4 linked regions of the Saccharomyces cerevisiae S288C genome follow. The gene in region 4 interacts genetically with the main gene of each other region. Each region holds a gene or a part of one and is shown on either strand. Other genes may lie near its edges. The genes, in order: POG1, YJR096W, YGR153W and ISN1.

Region 1 (3,402 bases), on a different chromosome or scaffold from region 4:
TGACCAGCAACTGACTTGCCGTTTTTACAATGTATATTTATATACCCCATTATCTAGAGATTGCTTCTTTATCTAGGAAAAGATGGTGACGCCGTTTATCTGTTCTGTAACCGCCATTACTATTTTCATCAGGGCCAACAAAAAAAAGTCCAGTAGCTCATACGACATCATCTGAGCCAAGACACATTTTCTCGAGAAAAATGTGGTGAAAGGCACAGATTTGGGGGGGAGGTCAGGATGCTGAAAAATTATTACCTCCGTCTTACGACCGCTCAGACGGGTAAGAACACCGGGGGTGGACAAGACAGTTAAGCAGACTGAATCCAAAATGACAGCATATATTATCAATATCCTGTTTATTCATGATTGAAATGAGATAAGGAGTAAAGGCAAAGAAATCGTAATAATAACACTGTAGCATATATATGGATATATATTTTTTTTTGAACTGAAGTAAGGTGGACGGATGCATCGAATGAAGGTTAGGAAGGGATATAGTTTTAGAAATTAGGTGATAAAAATGAAAATTACTGCACGTCATGTGGGAGGAGGATGTTTTGGTGTATGAATGAGAAAATTGACGGGCCTTTGGGACGAAGCCGGCTGGGGATTTCGCATGGGCGACCTAAAATTTGCCATGGAAATATTGGCACTTTGTGACCTTCTATGACTAAAACTTTTTCTTGACTGGTCTCGTTCCTGACCAGGTTGCAGCTGGTGCTGCTGCCCGTATATATTTGCCTGTGGGCCCATACTCATTACCGGATGAGCACCTATATTTTGTTGGTAAAGGCCATGCTGGTTCAAGGAAAGAAACTGTGAGCTCATCACTGGTGTCTGGGACTCCGAGTTTGAGCTCATTGTAGGAAGCTGAGCTTGTGGTCCCATCCCTGGTGGATATAAATACTGCGGCATTATCTGTTGCACTTGTGGTTGCGGAGGTTGCATATACGGGTTGCTCATCCACTGATTTGCAGGCATAGGTAAAGTATATGCGCCTGGTTGCTGGTGTATTTGAGGGTATCCGACCCCTGTCTCAACTTCTGACACTGTAGGTATATCAGATCTATATCTTCTATGGCCTCGTGGACTTGCAAGTTCGGAGGCGTTTATCTTGCGTTTCTTTGTCGTTATCGGAGACGGTATCGTAAGATGATTGTTGTTATCATTATTTGTATCTCTATTCATGGACATATCAAGAATCTTGTTTAATGTCGAATCACTTATTTTATCACTTTCCATACATTTATCAATAATCTGGTTTAGTTTCGCAAGATTTGACTCGCGTATCTTTTCTAGTTCTTTTGTGTCGTTTATCAATCGTACGTTTAAAAATTGCTCCACTAGGCCAGTGTCGCATGCATTTAGTTCTTGAATATCGTCAAACCCAAGTTGTTTTAATATTCTTATTCGAAGCGATAGAGACTTTTCTGTTTGCGATGATTCCACTGGTCTACTGTTGGTACTCTCGTCTCCTGTACTAGCTGTCACGGTTGTACCAGAAGATAATGAGGTATGCTGCTCTCGTTCAACAGCCATTGGTCCTTTCGGCTTCTCTTTTTCTTCGGATTGTCTATGTGGCTCCTGCTTCATAATATGGCATCCACTTTGATTTTCGTCTTTACTTATTTTTTTTCAATTTCTGCAATTAATCGTGGGACTCTTGAAATGTTTTGCGCCTTTTTGTATGAGTTAAGCGCAGGGATTGCACGCAATTTATTTCCTCTTCTGCGTAGCCTTTAAAATACGCGAACCTTAAGTGATATCAGTACGCGATTTGATCTTAGTTTTACTTATCTGTTAAAATAAGATACCTTGGGTTCCCAGTGTCTTTTCTACTATTGCTTCACACCTTATTATTTTTGTGCACTTTTGCTTTTATGAGAATAGGCAGTGCATACCTTTTAATTTCTTAGCACTCTGAATTTTCCAACCTCTACGAAAAAAAAGGAAGAACTTACAAAGTTCCCCCATCTGAAGCAGTAAATTTCCAAAAATTTTTTTCACCATCCGCATTTTCCCTTTTTGATCCACAATTGCCCAAAACAGTAATATTTTACGGGTAATGGCGGGGCAAAGCTCATCTCCGCAGATCCTCTTCGCGCCGACAGGCGCTGGGGGCTGAAAACACTACGTGCGGAAAGTTGTGCCTTCATGTCCTGATTCGGAAATGTGATGATTTCGTAAACCTACACAATATCCCCTTTGAGACTATTGCAGAGCTGCATATGTACTATTTTTAGCTGTCTAGGAACAGGCTACAGTAAAAGGAGGCCGGAAAGCTGAAGATGAAAAGAGTTCTTAAATTTCTTATGGGTATCGGACAGTATGTGTTTTCTTATGTAAATCTATTTAAAATTGTTCCGTCTTTGAAAATCTCTCTATCCAAGAATACTACTTGCTAGTTAAAGATAATCGTAATGAATCTTGGCTATATTTGGTCGTCTAACAAGTTCACTTGGATAATGGTACAGAAACATTGAGGCCATTAACGAAAAGAAAAAGGTGGACAGTATAAATATCGGTAAAAAGAAAAGGGGACCATAGTGATTGTGTGAGGTATAGGGGGTGAGATGTGTTCGAAAAAAGAAAAAAAAAAGGAAAAGTAGTAGTCACGTAGCTTAATTGTATAAGACGAAATGAGCTTTACCGGAAGTAACAGAGACGGTACACCCGTCAGCACCGCCAGAGAACTCACCATTTTCGTAAACACATTCACCGATGACATTGGATGAATCATCAGCAGCAACTATCTTGACGTTGTAGTTCAATGCGTCGCTGTTGTTTGGGTTAGGAATCAATGATAAGTATGTCACTCCACCAGTGGAGCCAGCACCAAAGTTTAATGGTGCCCAGTTACCAATACCAGATCCAGAAGTACCCCAGATACACCCATCTTCAACTGAGACGCCGGCGTTATTAACGTAGTATTGAGCAGATGTCTTTTTGCCTTCCCAAGTAAAGTAAGTATCTTGGTCAACAACGGTCAATGGCAAAGAGCTACCCCCTTCAACATAGGTTGGGATAACCATGTTTTCAGTGCCCGGGTAGTCGGTTCTGCAAATGGCGACACCCTTGCTTAGTTTAGAAACAACATAGGCAGCCTCGACACCCCATTCACATAAGTAATCCGCGTCAGTGTTAGAACGGTACAAATAACCATTTTTACACAACAAACCCCCGACAGATCTACCGTCAGATGGTTGATCGGATGGCCATTGGGTCTTAGACATACCTGGTTGGCAGGAGTAGGAACAGTAGGACCCCTCCTTGCATGAACCGCCAGTGGAAGTGTCGGTGTTTTCCACACCGGACCATCCACCCTCGCCAATCCAGTCAATAGAAATGACACCTTGACCAGATGGGAATTTGTCACATGGAATAGTGCCGTCTTGGAATTTC
Region 2 (3,364 bases), on a different chromosome or scaffold from region 4:
TCTTATTGATTGTGACGTTGCTAACCGTATCATGTATGCTTTTAGAAAGTTTATCGGGGTGCGTATTTAGTAACCGATTCCTATATGCCTTTTTGATTTCATCTTGTGTTGCATCCGATGGAATTCTTAAAATTTCGTAGTGTGTTAACGAATTCACCAATGACATTTTCGCTAAATTTTCACACCAAAAGAAAGATTAAATTGGAGATAAATACAATACAAAGAGCGTGGTAAATTTCTTAGTTGATTGCGCTTATCTTTTGGCACCGATAGTGGTTTTTACAATGGTAAGACTAGTAACGTCACATCGAAGTCATCGCATCCATTTACAATTTTTCTGAAAATTTCCATCTCCAGTTACCCGCTCATAAATCTTCAAGAAAAGTCAATGATTTCCTTTTCTACCTCTAGCAGCTCCTTTAATCTTTGATTTAGATCGAAAGTCCTGAAAAAGCTACATGTAATATTAATACTTTGTGAAACGTAAACTAATTATATGTTCTATATACGTTATTCTACGGTTCGCATTTTCTTTTTATGGCGCGTCTGTGCATTCCCAATCGGTAGGCTCATAAGCATCAGGATGATCAAGAAATTTCATCTGTTCGTCTGACAGTTCAAAGTTGTAGGCTGCAAGGTTACCTTCTAACCTCTTCACAGTTTTAGTCTTCGGTAGTGGTAAATAACCGTGTTGTAAAGACCAACGAATCAAAACTTGACCTGGATTACGGTCCACCTCTTTGCAAACTTTTAATAAATCTGGATTAGTCATTTTGTAGCCGTGACACAATGGGGCAAAGGCTTCGACGACGAGACCTTTAGATTTACAGTAATCTGCTAATTCTTGTCTCATAATCCAAGGTGATATCTCGATTTGGTTGACCACTGGCTTGTGCTTCAGTTCTGGCCAGTTCAAAAGTTCATCAATGTGCTTTTTCCCATAGTTGGAAACCCCTATAGACTTAACCAATCCTTCATCAACCGCTTCTTGCATGGCGCGCCAAGTTTCCAACCTTAATTTAGAACCTTCCAGTGGCGAATGAATCAAAAGAAGATCGATGTATTGCAAGCCCGAGACTTCATTCAAACATTGCCGAATGGCAGCTTTAGCTCTTTTATATCCGTTTTGCGAATTCCATAATTTAGTAGTGTAGAAGATTTCCTCACGTTTATGGTTCCCTGGATCTTCGTTCAACCATTTAATGATACCATCGCCAACTTCCTTCTCATTACCATAAAGAACAGCAGTATCGAAATGACGGTAGCCGCACTTGACACCTTCATACACAATTTCGGCTGTTTGCGATCTTGGAATATCGTAGGTTCCCAAAGCAATGCTTGGGATTTTGAAGCCGTTTGAAAGTTTGTAAAACTTAGGAACCATGTTGTTGAGGTGAATTTTTTTTCTTCCTTCGGGCTAGGTATGCTAAGTTAATTACTAAAGTAAGATCAGTTGCTTATGCTCTTATATATTGGAGGTTGCGACAAGGGATGAAAGAAAGAGACACCTCCCCTCATATCGACACGACGGAATATGTATGATAACTACTTCATTGTTCTTTTCAGCACATTATTACTATTTACGAAAAAAGGGAGTAGGGAAAAATGGCGCGCTTATGGAGCCTCAAATAAGGACAAAAAAGTCAAGTAATGAATATCAAATTGAAATGAGTATGCTTACATAGATTTATTTGGTTTGTTTTCATTTTGTTTTTGTTTCTTATGTTGCTGCTTTATTTTGTGTAGGTAATAAGGAAGAATAGGGCGATTAATAATTGATCTTCTAGCCTATTTCTATTTTTTCTTTATTTCATTTTGTAGTCCCATTGTTCATCATCTACTTTAATGGCTTTGGCTTTGGTGTGTCATTCTTCTTGAATATACCCAAATTTTCTAAATGCTCCCTTACATATTCATAAACGGTAAAGGTGACAGCCTGACCTGGAGCCACCCTCATCACTCTTGGGGTAATACCCTTGTACAAAGCTCTAAAACCTTCTTCTTTCAGTAGTTGAGCACCAATGGTTATGATTTTCTTCATACCGGACTGTTTTTCCAATGAGATGGACTTATCCTTTTGCAGCCTTGTCTTTATAGTATCCAATGGAGCGTTGGAAAACGGCCCAATAGCACCCGAAATCAAACCTATGCAAGAAGTTTCCCATGAAGGTAGGACATCCATCTGATGGTAATTCTGCAAAAACTCCTTCAGTTTAGAATAAACTGTGAAGTTAGCACCCTGATTAGTTGCTTGCCTTGCCGCAGTTAAGGAAACGCCTCTATATAAGGCAGAAACACCTTCTTCTTTGACAATAGTGTAGGCTGCATGAATGGCGTTGTTATATTTAGGACCAGCATTTGGCTCACTCGGAGTTAAATGCTGAGCTTGTAACCTAATCTTTACAACTTCCATCGGGTTCACGACAAGAACAGCTTCGGTGATACCAGCCCCAACACCAGCAACAAAAGTATTACCGGTAGACACAATTCCTGATTCCTTGTTAACCAATAAGGTTCTATAGAATTCATAAGACGAGAAACGGATTGCCATCTTAGGTATAATACCGATGACCACAGCACCTAGACCTTTATACAGAGCCAAGAAACCTTCTTTTTGATAAATGGTACGCCCAGTTTTAATAAATCCTGGGGGTTTAACATGTTCAATACCAGCTACCCGTCTGTATATTTGCATTCTCACCTTAATTGTATCTAAAGGATGACAACACAATGCTTCAAATAAACCTGCTGTGCCGCCAGCCATGAGATTGATGGCTGGATGGGAAGCCTTCTTTTTTTGAGACATTTTTCTTTCTTCTTCTTTGTTATGTTATCTTACGGCTAAAACTAATATAAACTTCTTTCTTGAATCAAGTATTCTTAGTTTTAGTAATAGGGAAGATGCCAAGTTTCTTTCAATGACTCAATTGATAATATCTTCCAAAATGCTTTGCACTTTACTTATGAAGCAGATAGAAAACAAAGGGGGAAACGCCAAGAACAAGAAGAACTACAACAAGAAAGTTAACAAAACGAGAACAAGTAGTAAGTGAACTATATATTTATACATAAGATATATGCAAAATGTGACATTACGGTTTGTAAAAGGTAGTAACTCCGTGGCGACAAGAATCTCAAAGGATTGGTTAAAAGATAGCACCTCGAGCAGTAGTACTACCGTATATCATCATTGCCTCCATCATCACACTTTATTATGACAATGAGGACTAATCATTAACACCGACCCATCAAATTTGGGCCCTTCGTCACAATTAAGGTCCGTTTGCGGTTTACCGGGACTAGGCTGGTACTGTCATACGATGTGGTATCTGGTAGACATGGGCGGTTAATAATTCATGGCTCA
Region 3 (2,974 bases), on a different chromosome or scaffold from region 4:
ATCCGAAGATTAATCTTGGTGTCTATAAAGTCGGATTAGCAGAAAACGGAAAGATTTACGAAACTGAAGTAAAAACACTGTTTGAAAACTTGCAGAAGATGGAATGTGTACTAAAAGAAAATTATAAGCGCTTAGAGGAGCAATTCAGTGGTAACAAACAGAAAATCTTGGCTAAATATTTTGTTTTAGGACAGAGGTTAACTGAAGCGGATATCAGATTGTATCCATCAATAATTAGATTTGACGTCGTGTACGTGCAGCACTTCAAATGCAATTTGAAAACTATAAGGGATGGTTTCCCGTACCTTCATTTGTGGTTGATTAATCTATACTGGAATTACGCAGAGTTTAGATTTACTACAGATTTTAATCATATTAAGCTCTTTTACATCAGGATGGAAGTAAGTAGGAACAAGATCAATCAGTTTGGTATAGTGCCATTAGGCCCAAAGCCTGACATTTCTAGATTATGAAAACTTCTAATATTTTCTTACACACACATATATTTATATGCATGGCTATACTTCAAAAGAGGTTGTCACTTCCATTTCCATGTAGGTAAAACTCGTGTATAGACGGAACACAGACTTCCCTAGTTTTATTGACTTCATAGTCTCTGCACCATTCAATTATGTCTCTGTAAAAGAGACTCTTCTTTATATCGCCCTTTTCTATATTCTCCATCTCCAGTTCTTTGAAGCATTTTGCTTTTCTCGATTTATGACAACCACACGGTTTTACACTCTCCTCTCCATGTTCTACCATTTCATGCCTCCAGTCAAAAAATGGTTGACTGTATTCCCTACTTGAATCCATACTTGATTCAACAAGGTAGTTTCTCGAATTCTCAGGTAGTACTGCCACCCTCCTTAAACGTTTCTCTCTTTGTCTTGCTTCCTTTCTTTGTTCTATTTTTGGCGGAATGGTAAATTTCACAGGATTCTTGGATCCATTCTCATTTTCATTCAAGGCATTTAAGTCCAAGGAAAATAACCGTATGCTCACGTTGGACCCTTCAAACGTGAAACTATCTTCACTCAATATACTTCCTACACCGCATTGTTCCTCGTTACTACTTGAATCCTGTATATCTGAGAGAGAGGTAAAAAATGAGTAGGTATCTCTTTCCCCCTCACATTCGTAAGTGCCGACTTCTTTATTCAAACAGGCCTTTCCCATTTCTCAAAGACCTCTTTTCGTAACCTATTTAGTAATGATGAAAAGTATTAAACAGTATTTTCAAGATAAGAATTTTATTATTTTGTACCATTTACGATACACATAAACCCCAGAAAAAAACAACTTTATGGGAAAAGGCGAATAGTACTCATAATATACAAGGTAAAAGCAGGCGTATCTCAGTCATACAGTTCAATAGAGAAAGGCATTTTTGGAATATCATACATTTTATCTAGCAAGTGGAAACAGACTGTATATTCCCAAGAATCATCGCCTTTTTATCACAACGTCAGCCTCACAACTAATTCGCGTCAAAGCGCATTCATCCTCGACATTCTCAAACGCGAAATATCGTCGAAAAAGGTTAAAAAGAAAAGAGAGAAGGACAGAAAAAGAAAAAAGTAAAGTAGAGCTCGATCTCGAAAAAAAGAACCATTGCGTTCGTTCTTAACTACGCCAAGAAGTTTTTGAAATTTCATCCTCTCCACTGAACAATAATACTATTATTTAGTAACGATATAGAACATTTACATACAACGTTCTAATATTTTGGCTTCTATCATCGCTTAGAAATATTTGGCTAGGAAACATTAGGACTAATGAGAGACTATAAATTAGTAGTATTGGGTGCTGGTGGTGTCGGTAAATCCTGCTTAACCGTGCAGTTTGTACAGGGAGTTTATTTGGATACGTATGATCCAACGATCGAAGATTCTTACAGGAAAACCATCGAGATCGATAACAAGGTATTCGACCTGGAAATTTTAGATACAGCGGGTATAGCACAATTTACTGCAATGAGAGAATTATACATAAAGTCAGGAATGGGGTTCCTGTTGGTATATTCAGTAACAGATCGGCAATCTTTGGAAGAATTAATGGAGCTAAGAGAACAGGTCCTTAGGATCAAAGATTCCGATCGCGTTCCAATGGTTCTAATAGGTAACAAGGCTGATCTAATCAATGAAAGGGTAATAAGTGTGGAAGAAGGTATAGAGGTAAGCAGTAAATGGGGTAGAGTTCCCTTTTATGAAACAAGCGCTTTGTTGAGGAGCAATGTGGATGAAGTGTTCGTTGATTTAGTTAGGCAAATCATTCGGAATGAAATGGAAAGTGTTGCAGTTAAAGACGCAAGAAATCAAAGTCAACAATTTAGCAAAATCGAGTCTCCATCAACCAGGCTCCCTAGTTCTGCGAAACAGGATACGAAACAATCAAACAATAAGCAATCATCAAAAGGTTTATATAACAAATCTTCACAAGGACAAGCTAAAGTTAAACAATCTACTCCGGTTAATGAAAAGCACAAACCGTCACATGCCGTTCCGAAATCTGGTTCTAGCAACAGGACAGGAATTAGCGCTACTTCACAACAAAAGAAAAAGAAGAAAAACGCTTCCACTTGCACTATTCTATAGTCACTTAATTTTATTATAAATGAATCAAGATATCAGATAAAAAGACTTTACTTGAAATAGTTTTATTATAGTTCTAAAAGGTTTAGTTTAAAGTATTAGCATACGTTGTATAAGTTTTTAAAGAAATCAATTAATAATGTTTGAAAATAAATTTAAACCCAAAAAAAATGAAATGTTAAAAATATGGACGCAACCGGAATCGAACCGATGACCTCTTCCTTGCAAGGGAAGCGCGCTACCAACTGCGCCATGTGCCCGCAATCTATGGGATTTTACGGTAGATGCTGCGTTACGTATAAAAAATATTAAATGAACAGATCCACACTCTCGTAACTAAAGCTCACACTGTAGTTTCTTATAGTTTATGTTGATTGATA
Region 4 (3,448 bases):
GCTGAGTTTGCAATGTCCTATATCTTGTACAAGGATGAAGTATCCGGCGAAGACTGACCAATGTAAGCATATCCAATGTTTTGATGCTCTCTGGTTTCTTCACTCTCAGTCACAAGTCCCTACATGGCAGTGTCCGATTTGTCAACACCCTATAAAATTCGACCAGTTGAAGATTTCCGAATTTGTAGATAATATTATTCAAAATTGCAATGAAGATGTTGAGCAAGTTGAGATATCTGTTGATGGCTCATGGAAACCGATTCATAATAGTTCGGCCGTTATAACGGATACTGTTAACCAAAATCACAGTGTGAAAAACGAGAACCAAGGCACTGTCAAACAAGAGCAAGATTATGACAGCCGAAATGCCTTCGATACTAATTTGCGTAATGGTTCAAACCACAACGAACCCGAAATAATATCTCTGGATAGCTCAGATGATGAAGCCTTTATTCCGGCTAGTAAAAGCTTCCCAACGCACGTGAACCCCCGTAATGACCAATTAAGAGCAGATATATTTCCCTCAGAATCGGAAGGATCCAGTGACTACAACCCCAATCATACATCAACGCCGAAAGGTTCTCCAACTATGGACCAAGATAATTATCAAGATGCTTTTCAAATGAGGTCATTTTTGAACCAAGGCGCTACTACAAATATAAATGACACACCGACGAACAATAGCAGTATTAATTCTTTCGTTACGGCGACGAATGGTGACAGCAGAATATTCTACAATAGAGGGCCATCAACGCCACTATTACCGGCTGTTCTACAAAATTTGACTAATCAAACGGAAGCGCAGAGAAACCCCTACGGACCTAATTACAATACCACAGCTCAAGATCGTAATCTTTTGGGAATCGAAGGTGATTTGCCTCCAATCCCCCCTGTGGACCCAAATTCAGAAGCAGAAACTGAACTACCAACAAGGACCACATCGGCGGCACATCTCCCTCCATATATACACGTGAGCACCAGCGGCCATGGGGATGATGGAAAAATTAGGAAGAGAAGGCATTCTAATGTTTCTATCTACATTCCGAAGAATCCATACGCCACCCTTATGAAACGGAGACCACAGGCAAATCACGCCATAATGAATAAAACTCTGGCCCAAACTAATGACTTTAACACATCGGCTCAAGATAACTCGGAAGTGGTCGATTTAACATCAGATTGATTAACCGTCTTTTGATTTCTTTCCTTTCCGATTGTATTCTATTTTTATTTCTATTGTTTCATTTCGCTCTTAATATTGACTTCCACTTTTGGGCGTAAATGATGTTTTTGTTTTGATAAATATTACGACTTTTGTTATGTTTTTTTACTACTGTGGTTACTTCATGGGTGTAGTGTGCGAATCTGCAGTGATAGGTTTCTATAGATTTCTCTGTATACTTCCTGTATTACACTATAATATTTCATGTCCTTTCACTTCCCACGTTTAGCGGGACAGGCCGCCCTTAAATTAACAAAATTTAAAAGGTAAAGGAATGTACTAAGAAAAGAAAACTATTCAAAGAAAGTAACAAAAGATCGTGAGTTAACTTATAATAGCAATGTCCTCAAGATATAGAGTGGAATATCATTTGAAGAGCCACCGCAAGGATGAGTTTATAGATTGGGTAAAGGGGCTACTGGCCTCACCTTTTGTTCTACATGCCGTCTCTCATGAAGGTGACTACAATGACGACTTAGCAACAACTCAACGTGTAAGGTCGCAGTATGCTGATATCTTTAAAGACATTGAAGGGCTGATTAAAGATAAAATAGAATTTGACTCAAGAAACATGAGCCAAGACGAAATTGAAGATGGCGCCTCTTCTCAATCTCTGAATATATTAGGACAATCGCGTTTAAATCTTTTGGTTCCATCAATTGGAACATTCTTTACGGAACTTCCATTGGAACAAGCTTTTCTATGGGAAGACTCACAACGGGCCATTTCGGCGCGTAGAATGGTAGCACCCAGTTTTAATGATATCAGGCATATCCTGAATACTGCACAGATATTTCACTTTAAGAAACAGGAGAACTTACATAATGGTAAGGTTTTGAGATTAGTGACTTTTGATGGAGATGTGACGCTGTATGAAGATGGTGGCTCCCTGGTTTACACTAATCCTGTAATTCCTTATATTCTCAAGCTGTTGCGGTGCGGTATCAATGTGGGAATAGTCACTGCGGCCGGATATGATGAAGCTGGAACCTATGAGAACAGATTGAAAGGATTAATTGTTGCATTACATGATTCAACTGATATACCAGTTTCTCAAAAGCAGAATTTAACAATAATGGGTGGTGAGTCGAGTTACCTTTTCCGTTACTATGAAGACCCGGAGGAAGATAACTTTGGCTTTAGACAAATTGACAAAGAGGAATGGCTATTGCCTAGAATGAAGGCTTGGTCCCTCGAGGACGTGGAAAAGACTTTGGACTTTGCCGAGAGAACTCTTAACAGGTTAAGAAAAAGACTAAACCTACCTTCAGAGATTTCTATTATCCGTAAAGTCAGGGCAGTGGGTATCGTCCCAGGCGAACGGTACGATGAAGCTTCTAAAAGACAAGTTCCTGTTAAGCTTGATAGGGAACAACTGGAGGAAATAGTTTTAACCCTTCAAAACACTTTAGAGTCTTTTGCCCCATCTAGAAGAATTCAATTTAGTTGTTTTGATGGTGGTAGTGATGTCTGGTGTGATATTGGGGGGAAAGATCTTGGTGTTCGTTCATTGCAACAATTTTATAACCCTGAATCTCCTATCCAACCCTCTGAAACCTTACACGTAGGCGATCAGTTTGCACCGGTGGGATCAGCAAATGATTTTAAGGCAAGGCTAGCTGGATGTACCCTCTGGATAGCATCCCCTCAAGAAACAGTGAATTATCTTCATAGATTATTAGAAACTGATTAAAACAGTTTATGTAAAATGAAATTAGGACTATAAAAGTATATAGATATTTCCTATAGAAACACCTCATATATGGCGGTGGATTTTTTCATCTTGAATGAATTATGCTTAGAATTATGATTATGGGCCCTCTAGGATTCATCTGATTGCTTGTTGAACAATGTCTGCCTTTTCAATAGCGCCATTTTTGCTCTCTTCGAAATCTTCAAAGTAAAGCTCTCTCGTTATTAATAGATAGGATATCAACCCTACGAAGGCGAAAAATGACGCATAAACAATTCTTCTTTGAAAACTGACTTCTTTTTCCAATCTTTCCAAATGCAATAAATGACGGTTAGTAAATTTGTCATTCTCCAGTTTCTGTTCTTCTAATATACGTAAAGATTGATCTTTCAATTGATTGGCAAAGTTATTCAGCAGATCTAGATTACTCATCATTGTTTCGTTGAATATCGTGACAAGATGACTGAACTTTGCTTCGTGCGCCATTTCAAGTTGTTCAAACGATTTAGATAGCAGTTTGCTCTGTTCCTCAA

Evidence for each region.
Region 1: mutations in ISN1 (region 4) and POG1 together harm fitness more than expected from each alone (negative genetic interaction), as found in Saccharomyces cerevisiae (one large-scale study listed by BioGRID).
Region 2: mutations in ISN1 (region 4) and YJR096W together harm fitness more than expected from each alone (negative genetic interaction), as found in Saccharomyces cerevisiae (one large-scale study listed by BioGRID).
Region 3: mutations in ISN1 (region 4) and YGR153W together harm fitness more than expected from each alone (negative genetic interaction), as found in Saccharomyces cerevisiae (one large-scale study listed by BioGRID).

The regions. Positions count from the first base shown.
Region 1 is NC_001141.2:128,801-132,202, reverse strand, and holds POG1 (Pog1p), read right to left. Parts: upstream 1,594-3,402; coding exon 538-1,593; downstream 1-537. Other genes in the region: putative glucosidase SIM1, read right to left, coding at 2,622-3,402. UniProt on the Saccharomyces cerevisiae protein: Transcriptional activator which promotes cell cycle recovery with CLN2, after pheromone induced G1 arrest, probably inhibiting the ability of STE20 to activate the pheromone response pathway.
Region 2 is NC_001142.9:609,215-612,578, reverse strand, and holds YJR096W (aldo-keto reductase superfamily protein), read right to left. Parts: upstream 1,385-3,364; coding exon 536-1,384; downstream 1-535. Other genes in the region: JJJ3 (Jjj3p), read right to left, coding at 1-166; SFC1 (Sfc1p), read right to left, coding at 1,838-2,806.
Region 3 is NC_001139.9:794,297-797,270, reverse strand, and holds YGR153W (uncharacterized protein), read right to left. Parts: upstream 1,180-2,974; coding exon 526-1,179; downstream 1-525. Other genes in the region: GTO1 (omega-class glutathione transferase), read left to right, coding at 1-473; Ras family GTPase RSR1, read left to right, coding at 1,779-2,597.
Region 4 is NC_001147.6:626,095-629,542, reverse strand, and holds ISN1 (IMP 5'-nucleotidase), read left to right. Parts: upstream 1-1,562; coding exon 1,563-2,915; downstream 2,916-3,448. Other genes in the region: SUMO ligase NFI1, read left to right, coding at 1-1,183; SLP1 (Slp1p), read right to left, coding at 3,051-3,448. UniProt on the Saccharomyces cerevisiae protein: IMP-specific 5'-nucleotidase involved in IMP (inosine 5'-phosphate) degradation.